2 linked regions of the Yarrowia lipolytica genome follow. The protein of the gene in region 2 binds, or shares a complex with, the protein of the main gene of each other region. Links are inferred from orthologs where the notes say so. Each region holds a gene or a part of one and is shown on either strand. Other genes may lie near its edges.

Region 1 (4,261 bases), on a different chromosome or scaffold from region 2:
GCTCTGGATGCCCACAAGAAGCTGTACAACCTGCCTGTTGCTGTGGCCGACCGGTCCAAGATGAACATTGTCTTCACCATCCATGGCGAGGGTCTCGAGGACAAGTTCCTCAAGGAGGCGGCTGCCAAGGGTCTGACTGGTCTCAAGGGCCACCGATCCGTCGGAGGTATCCGAATCTCCAACTACAACGCCGTCACTGTCCAGAGCGCCGAGCTGCTCAAGGACTTTATCAACGAGTTTGCCAAGCAGAACGAGTAGACGGATGCGTTGCCAACATATAGAAGGGTGCAAACTCTGACACTTGATTTATTGATGATTTGATTGTATTGTAGCTAATGAGATGTAGTCACCAGACCCACTATGTCGAGGGTATTGGAACAAATGTACTTACACGCAATGGACCCATTTGAATCGTTGGCACTAACGGTATTCTATCGTTGATTGTACTTACAGATATCGTCAAAAGTGGACGTTTCCTTAACACACACTTACTCAGATTGACCCACGGATACGTCTACAAGTATGTACTGCACACTCGTATTGTCATATGCTCATTAACTACTCGTAAAAATTACTGGGAGGGGGGCCTGCATTGGGCACCGGGGGAGGCGGTGAGGTGCCATGAGAGTACAGACCCTGGACCGGTGGAGCAGCCAGGTTGTTGTTGTTGGGAATAGGGATCGACTGGCTGGTGACCGGCGATTGCTGTCCCAGGTTGCTGGTGGGCGTGCCATTGATGTATGGCGAGTGTCTGGCGGGCGCAGAGGCCGCGGGGGAGGTTCCGTAGGGGGCCGAATGAGCTGTAGAAGGAGATCCGTAGCCGTGAGGAGCAGAAGCAGCCGGAGCATGGCTAGGAGGCGCAGAGGGGGCTCCAGAATGGGCTCCAGAAGGGGCAGAAGGGCCTCCGGGGCCTCCGGGGCCTCCAGCACCTCCATGGGGAGCAGAGGGAGCAGAAGGTGCTCCACCCCCATATTGAGGAGGGAATCCGTACCCACTTCCTCCGGTGGTCGCGGGATGCAGATCTGTGGGTCCCTGGCCTCCCTGGCCTCCCTGGGAATACATGCGCTGTGATCTTCCAGAGTCAGTAGATCCCTGTCTTCCATGCGCCTGTGTGTTATCGTATTGATGCACGGGGTATGGAGTTTGCTGTTGCTGCTGCTGTGGCTGCTGTTGATGTGTCTGAAGAGGCTGAACAGGATAAGGAGGCTGTTGCTGCTGCTGTTGCTGTTGTTGTTGCTGTTGCTGGGGAGGATACTGAGGCGGGTAACCAGGAGTACCTGGAGTACCTGAAGTACCTGGATAACCTGCGGGAGCGCCCTGAGCACTAGGATATCCTGCAGGAGCTCCACCCTGTGCACCACCTGCATATCCACCTGCTGCAGCAGCTCCTCCATACTGTGGCATGCTGGCCTCCATAAGGTCATCATACACTCTTCGGGCCTTGACAAATTTCTCGTTGAGCTCCACCAGGTCGTCCTTTCGCTGGGCATACTTGTCGATTAGCTTGACCAGCTTGGGCCGGATGGCAAGGGTGGAGTGGTACAAGGACTGTAGCTCCTCATTTTCGGCGAGATTAAGCCGGGCAGCGTCCTGCGAAGACAGCAGTGCCAGCAGCTTTTCAATATTTCTGCTCTGAGAGAACACAGACAGCTCTTCCTGGGCCTCCTTTTCAATCTCCGCGGGAGTGGGTTCGGCTATAGGCATCACGTAGTTGAGTGGGAAGATACCGACCTGGCCCCGCAGAGATCCCCGCCACCAGTCTCGGAACACTGACTCCAGCACTGTGATTATGTCGCCCTTTCGGAAAGACAGTTCTCCGGGCTCTGTGGCGTTCAAGTCATACAGGGCCTTGACTCGGGACACCGTGGCCACCGTAGGTGTGGGGTCCTCGACTGCCGGAGCGTTGTTGTTGGTGTTGGCGTTGTTGGACTGCTGCCCGTAATCCTGCTGGTTGTGCTGCTGTTGTTGCTGCTGTTGTTGCTGATGAGGGTCCGTGGCAAAATGAGAGTTGTTAACAGGAGGTTGGATCTGAGAGTTGGTCTGGTGATGCTGCTGAAATGAGCCAGAGGTGTTTGTTTCGCTCAGCGAAAGCGCCAGCACCATCTGCAGCTCCTCCTCCTCTCGCTGGCGCTCCTGCTCGGTGATTTTGTGTTTTTCGGGCTTGGCGGGGGCCTTGAGATCGGGCTTCTTCCTGCTCAGTTCGTCGTAGGCCTCCTCAATTAGCCGCAACGAAGGGTCCTTTTTATACTCGTCCGTCAGCTGCTCCAGGACCTCAAGCACCTTGGACTTGACGCTCTTGTGGACGGCCGAGTCGTTGGCCAGCTTCATGAGGGTCTTGACAAACGCCTTGGACGCAATGGCCTGCTGCATCTTGGAGCCACAGTTGGACGATAACGAGATGACCAGCGTGAGCGCATACAGTTGGGTATTGGCGAACTTCTTGTTGAGACGCTTGGTGACGCTGGTGATGACGTTTTTCGCGCCATTTTCGGGGTCGTTGTTCACCTCGTCGCAAACGTCGAGTATGTACTGCCAGTTTTCCGTCGTCAGGTTTTCGTCCGTGGCCTTGGTGACCACGTCATCCAGTGGCGACACGGGCTCCGACGATCTGAACATGTCTGTGAGGGTGGTGAGTGGGTGCGGTTACCTCTATGAGGTGTGGTTGGTAGCTACAAGCAGCGACTATTGCCACTGAATAAAGTTGCTGGGAGGTGAGATGGAGTAGTGATGATGCAATGTGGACGGCTAACTACTTTGTGGAAGTAGAGCCGTGTGTTACTGCAAGGAGGATCTGCTGGTCAGCTGTGTTAGGGAAATTGATTGACCACCACAGATCCGAGCTGGCTATCTATAAGTACATTCGCAAATGTAGCTATTTCGAGACACAAAGGCTATCGTGGAGGCTGAGCGGCATGCGTCCTAACGGTAAGGTGCATGGGGGTACGATTCCCGCGATTGGGGGGAGGCAATAATTGCGAGTACGGTTATACGACGGTGTGAGAAAACAACCATTGAAGAGGATGAACGACGACTTGTACTGAGTGCGTGTTTACTTGTTTAGTTGTTTAACAGATTGCACGATACCTCATTGCGATCAATAGTTGTGGTATTATAGATACAATAGCAAGCACCGGTTTCTTGTATCGTAGAAGCCTCGTATTGGTTTTTGTTTATGTCTTCAACCAAAGTTAGAAATAGTAACGATAGCATACATAGCCTGGTTACTTGTATGCTGCACATGACTGTCAGCACGAAGACAACTACTCCGTCAGATAGTGATGTCTGATGCGGTGGAGTACAAGACAAGTATCTGATTGCATCAAGAGACTTGCTACAGTACTTCAACTGGTATCACTACTCTTTATCAGATACCCTCAGATGCCATCAGCAAGCAGTGAAGAAGATACCTCCACTAATTACTTGGTGAACTGGTGCAGTACAGACTGTAGCCATGATGGTATGATACCAGTCTGCGACAAGAGCAATACTATACGAATACAGGTACACGTTACATACAGCTTTACTCGTATTGATCCTTCTGTGCATGCAGGGGGCGGAGCGATCTGGTCATGACCATTTATCTATCTACACATGAGCAGGGCTGTGTTTAATCGGTGGGATCTACGGTATCATAGTCTCATCTAGAGTTAGTCTAACTGCTACTTTAATAGCGTCCCTCAATAGCTTGATAGCGCATGTACCGTTCGAGAAGTCGTAATACAATACATAAAAACGCACCGCACCTATACAGTAAAACGCACCTATGTTGTGGACGTCTGATATTTATTCCATTATGTCGTCGCCGACCCCGTTTCCCCCTCCTCCCCCAACTTTACATTGTGCATCAAACGGTTTTTTTCTGCAGCCAACGGTGGCCGGTGCTTGTATGGGCCCGCACGGACCGGTACAATACATACTGTGAAGCTGCACTGCCCCAACCTCGGCACATTGACTTTAGCCCACCCACGGAACACGATAATCGATCAAGAGACAGGAGCGATGCAAGTAGCAAGATATGACAGATTCCTCAGACGTCAAAAGATCCGGGGGCGCCCATTGCCATCGCTCCGCCCATGCCTTAGTGTGTTGTGACACGTCCTCCTTTCATGCACCCCTCTCTTTACATGGTGGTAATAAAGCGTGGTCAGAGGAGAGAGGAGAGATAAAGCGAGTGCCGGTATATAAGTACAAGCACGAGTACTACCAAGTGAGAGAGGACAGTCTTGCGCTAGTCGGACGTACTCGGTGCCCATAGTCTATA
Region 2 (4,083 bases):
CGGCTGCTGGAGGGAATCAAGCCCGATCTGGAGAAGAAGGTGGACACGGCCCGACAGCAGATCCGTTTCTTTGTCATGACCGATCTGCCCGAGAGTGTCATGGCCCCTTACTTGCGACGTCTGCAAGAAAAGGTCAATGAGAAGGACATCAAGATCGGCTCGTACCCGCACATGGAGCTCAAGAAAAACACCGTGTCTATCATTGGCCGAAAGGGAGACGTGGAGTACCTCAAGGAGATTGTCAAGGACGTGGAGAAGAATCTCAAAGGAGAAGAGATTTCGGCGGAGAAGGAGGAGGGCAACAGTCATGGGCCGTAGATAACTCGGAAACCTACAAAGCGAGTTGTTGGGCTGTCGTCTGAACAGATGGTGAGCGAAGCGGGCTATTTTCTTCATCGTTCGTTACCAATCCCCTTATTTATGGACTCTCTAAACGTCTAAAGAGATACTTGATATACGAATTACGAGTACACATCGATATGTTACAAGAACAAGTACTGTACTCGAGATGCGCTGATACAATTAGGACGGTATGTACGTCCTCGCCAATGAATGCTCAGATTAAAACAGTATGTGGAATGTAACCGCAAGCAGGGCCTAATATTAAATCCACGGCGGCTAGTCTAGTGATGCTACAATTCAATGAGAGGGGCAGACTCCTCCTTCGGCTGGGCGGGAGCACTGGGCGCACTAGGACCTCCAGGGGCACTAGGGGCACTGGGAGAAGATGCATAGTCGTATTCGGGGGCACCGGAGTACTGGTAACTGGGTGCGTTGTAGACGTTTTGTGCTGGTGGACCCCCATATTGAGGAGCAGAGGGTGCCGACCCAGTGTAGTGGTTTGTGAGATGGCCAGTGGGTTGGTTAGAGAGATATGGCGCCTGTCCAGTGACCTGGCCGGTCAGATAGGGAGCTTGTCCGGTGTGCTGGTAACCCATATGGGGTTGCCCAGTAATCTGGCCAGTCAGATGAGGGGCCAAGTGAGGCGGCTGTCCCGTCATCTGGTGGGATAAGTGAGGTTGTGGTGCGTATCCTCCCGACTGTCTATTAGTGTAAGCCTGGTTGAGCTTCTCCTCCAACAGCGCGTCGTAATACCGAATCACGGTGGTCATTTTAGCATGCATATCCACCAACGAGTCGTACTTGGAGATGGTTTCGCCCATGGTTCGGGCAAGCTTGGGTCGCAGGTTGCCGACGGTGTCATACAACTCCTGGATCTTGGGTTCCCGCAGAATCGTTCCCTGGGGTTCTCCCTTGAGGCGTTCAACAAGCAGAGACAGCAGATTGATGTTAGACTCTTCTGTGGCTGTTAGATCTGTGAGGGAAGGAGCCATGACTGTAGTGGAAGCTGAAGACAAGCCACCGGCAGATGCAGAGGTCTGTCCAGTCTGTCGCTCGTTTTCCATGTCTCTAAGGGAAGCTGCAATGGCAGCCTTCATGTCTTCATCATCGTCGTTGGAGGTTGCTGCTGCAGGAGGAGGGGGTTTGTAGGACTCCTGTTCCTGTAGTGACAGTCTGATGGCCTTTTGAATGTCGTCTTCGTCGTCGTTGGGTGCTGAGTTTGCTGGGGGGGCAGAACTGGGGGCTGTGGTAGTGGCTCCTGGAACAGGCTTGTGGATAGGAGCGTCTGATTTGCCTTTCTTGAGGTTTTTGAAGCAGCCATTGCAGACTCGGACGGGCACGTTGATGCCGAAATGGGGCAGAGTGATGTAGTTTTGGCAACAGGCTTGGGTGAAGACGCCTCCACAGTTTCTGCAGTGGTGTTTTCTGTTGAGGAACGAAAATGCCACGCCACTCTCCATGCAGACGTCACTGTCTATCCACTCGGGCGGTGCTTTTGTGTCGATGAAGGTGGAGGTGACTGCGGCGTTATCGTGGGAGGCTGAGGGGAAGGATACTCCCTCGGATTTAAGCTGTGTCACTGCGTTTTCCACCTGTTGCAGCTGCAGTTGGCCCGCAAACGCCACCGCCCACTGCTGGAGCAGCTGGAGCACCCGTTGTCGCACCTCGGGGTTTGCGTCGTCGTTTCGAGCAATCGCCATCAGGGGGTCGACAAACTCGCGGGAGGCGATTTCGACGAGGAAATGCGAGCCGCCGTTCTTGATGCACACGTCCGTGAGCTGCAGCGCCGCCAGCTGGACGTTGGGGTTGCGGTTGAGCAGCCGTCGCTTGAGCGACCGCATGGCGTCCTTTGCAGGCACGGTTTTGGACCGAATCAGGTCGCAGATTTCCAGATTGAGCGCAAGATCGGACTCGCCCGACGGCAGTGACTCTGACGTGGCCTTTTCGACCTGCTCGTCAATAGAAGGCGTGGAGCTCCACCAAGACATGTTCTTTGTTGCGGATGGGGGGAGGGGGGTGGTGTGCGGTGGTCAGAGAGAGTAGCGAGGTTTCCAGTGGCGATATTCAATTGGGAGGTTAGGCAGAGTCTAAATACCCGATTGCATCCCAGTGCATTAATTAATGTGCCATGATGTGGTCGAGGGGCGAGGCAGGGACTCTGGTGGGTTAGGTGAGCAGAACAGGAGGAGATCCTCGTGGGCACTTTGCACCGGTCCTTTATGTGTGTATGTGTATATACGTGCTTTGTCAGCGTCGGGACTCTTGACTAAGCTGGTTCCAACCCTTGATTAGGTTACCATGATCAAGGTTGAAAGATCTAAGATTGGAGATGGATGAGAACGAGTATGAGGACGAGTATGAGGACGAGTATGAGGACGAGTACAAGTAGGAGAGACAGATGGAGGGCGGATCTGACGGGAGAAACTGATTGTCACGCCTGAAATCACTTGGTTTTCGTCATTTCGAACTGTCCGAGCCCCGATCTAGTGGTGGCAGACCCTTTCATGCCCTGTCTGACATGCTGAGTCGGGTCTGTCGGTCATACGAGACAGTACAGTTGTCTACGTCAGTACGAGTACAAACGAGTGCTGATCGTGAATTGATGTAGTTTCTTCGTGCAATTAATGCAATTATTGTAGTTGCCTCGAGTACTGGTACTGTATTACTGTGTATGTACTGTTGTTGGGGACGTGGTAGCTTGGACAAGCATGCTTCTTCTCAGATCTGACAGTATAGTAACTGGATTGAGATTGATTGGCTATTTTTCTCAAGTGTCGACATTCTGAACATTGATAAGAAGTCGCTGTTCCATTCCATTCACCATAAAACTGCCATTGAGCTGCCGAGACATGTGAATACCTCATAACCACCGCCCTTCTACCGCCCTAGTATCGTACATACTCGTACACGGTACAAGGCTGTGGTAAGACTCGTGAACTCATATCACTGGTACACACTCCTCGGCTGCTTGAGGGTCAATGGTGTTTCATTTAGTCGGCCTGATGATCTCGACATGGACAATCCGTACATCGCTTGTTCTCTTTCAATTCAGTCTCCCCATTCCCACGGGCTAACTTCATGCAAACTCCAGTTAGTTGAACCCTCCAAGTAATAACCCAATACTAGACGACTTTCTTGATATAACCAAGTAATAACCCATCGTTAGACGGCTTTCTTGGTAGAACCAAGTGTTGACTCCACCCCTAGACTTTCTTGGCAGGCAAATGTCAAATAGCCGCTCTCCCGGAAAGTAAATCCCACACAAAACAACCGCTCAGGCGGTTTGAACGGTCGGCTCCTTCGCCACACTTGTTCGTCTACGCCACCCGACACTCCATCCATCGCCCCACCCAAAAATTAGATTCGAGGCCACCTCCCATCTGCATCACCATCGCCACTACCATACATACATCTCCACACCCCGGTTATCTTATCAACGACTTGCGACACTAACAACTACAACCAAGATGGCAACAGCATCCGTTCAGGTGAGCAGTATCTGAGGCGCACGTGACCACCCACCGCGTAAGCAGCTGACTAACACAGACCCGACTCAAGGTGCAATTGAAAATGGCGGTGAACCGTCTGCGACTAGTGCAACAGAAGGAGACGGCACTAGCTAAAGCCCAACGACGAGAAATGGCAGGGTTATTGGAAGCAGGCAAGGAGGCCAGTGCCCGGATCCGCGTGGAAAACATCATTCGAAACGACATCAGCGTCGAGCTGCTGGAGATTCTCGAA

The links. The genes of interacting proteins can lie anywhere in the genome.
Region 1: the proteins of YALI1_B05454g (region 2) and YALI1_F09563g are in contact, whole or in part, in a crystal structure (PDB 2PJW), measured with the Saccharomyces cerevisiae proteins. The link is inferred for Yarrowia lipolytica from reciprocal best matches to the Saccharomyces cerevisiae genes VPS27 and HSE1. Residues at the interface, in NP_014403.3 of Saccharomyces cerevisiae: Asp349, Leu350, Lys355, Ile358, Tyr359, Phe361, Ala362, Val365, Glu366, Met368, Lys369, Ser370, Arg371, Asn374, Leu377, Glu378, Gln383, Ala386, Val389, Phe390, Lys393, Leu396, Asn397, Ala399, Leu400, Lys403, Ala404, Lys406, Tyr407, Thr409; in NP_011861.1 of Saccharomyces cerevisiae: Val292, Phe293, Gln295, Lys296, Ile299, Asp300, Leu302, His303, Leu306, Asn307, Ala309, Ser310, Ser315, Asn316, Leu319, Tyr328, Val331, Thr332, Arg335, Val338, Met341, Leu342, Tyr345, Ala346, Glu348, Lys349, Met352, Leu353, Leu355, Arg356.

The regions. Positions count from the first base shown.
Region 1 is NC_090775.1:954,681-958,941, reverse strand, and holds YALI1_F09563g (uncharacterized protein), read right to left. Parts: upstream 2,617-4,261; coding exon 559-2,616; downstream 1-558. Other genes in the region: YALI1_F09598g (uncharacterized protein), read left to right, coding at 1-258. UniProt on the Saccharomyces cerevisiae protein: Component of the ESCRT-0 complex which is the sorting receptor for ubiquitinated cargo proteins at the multivesicular body (MVB) and recruits ESCRT-I to the MVB outer membrane.
Region 2 is NC_090771.1:543,691-547,773, reverse strand, and holds YALI1_B05454g (uncharacterized protein), read right to left. Parts: upstream 2,331-4,083; coding exon 633-2,330; downstream 1-632. Other genes in the region: YALI1_B05483g (uncharacterized protein), read left to right, coding at 1-318; YALI1_B05438g (uncharacterized protein), read left to right, coding at 3,810-3,830, 3,889-4,083. UniProt on the Saccharomyces cerevisiae protein: Component of the ESCRT-0 complex which is the sorting receptor for ubiquitinated cargo proteins at the multivesicular body (MVB) and recruits ESCRT-I to the MVB outer membrane.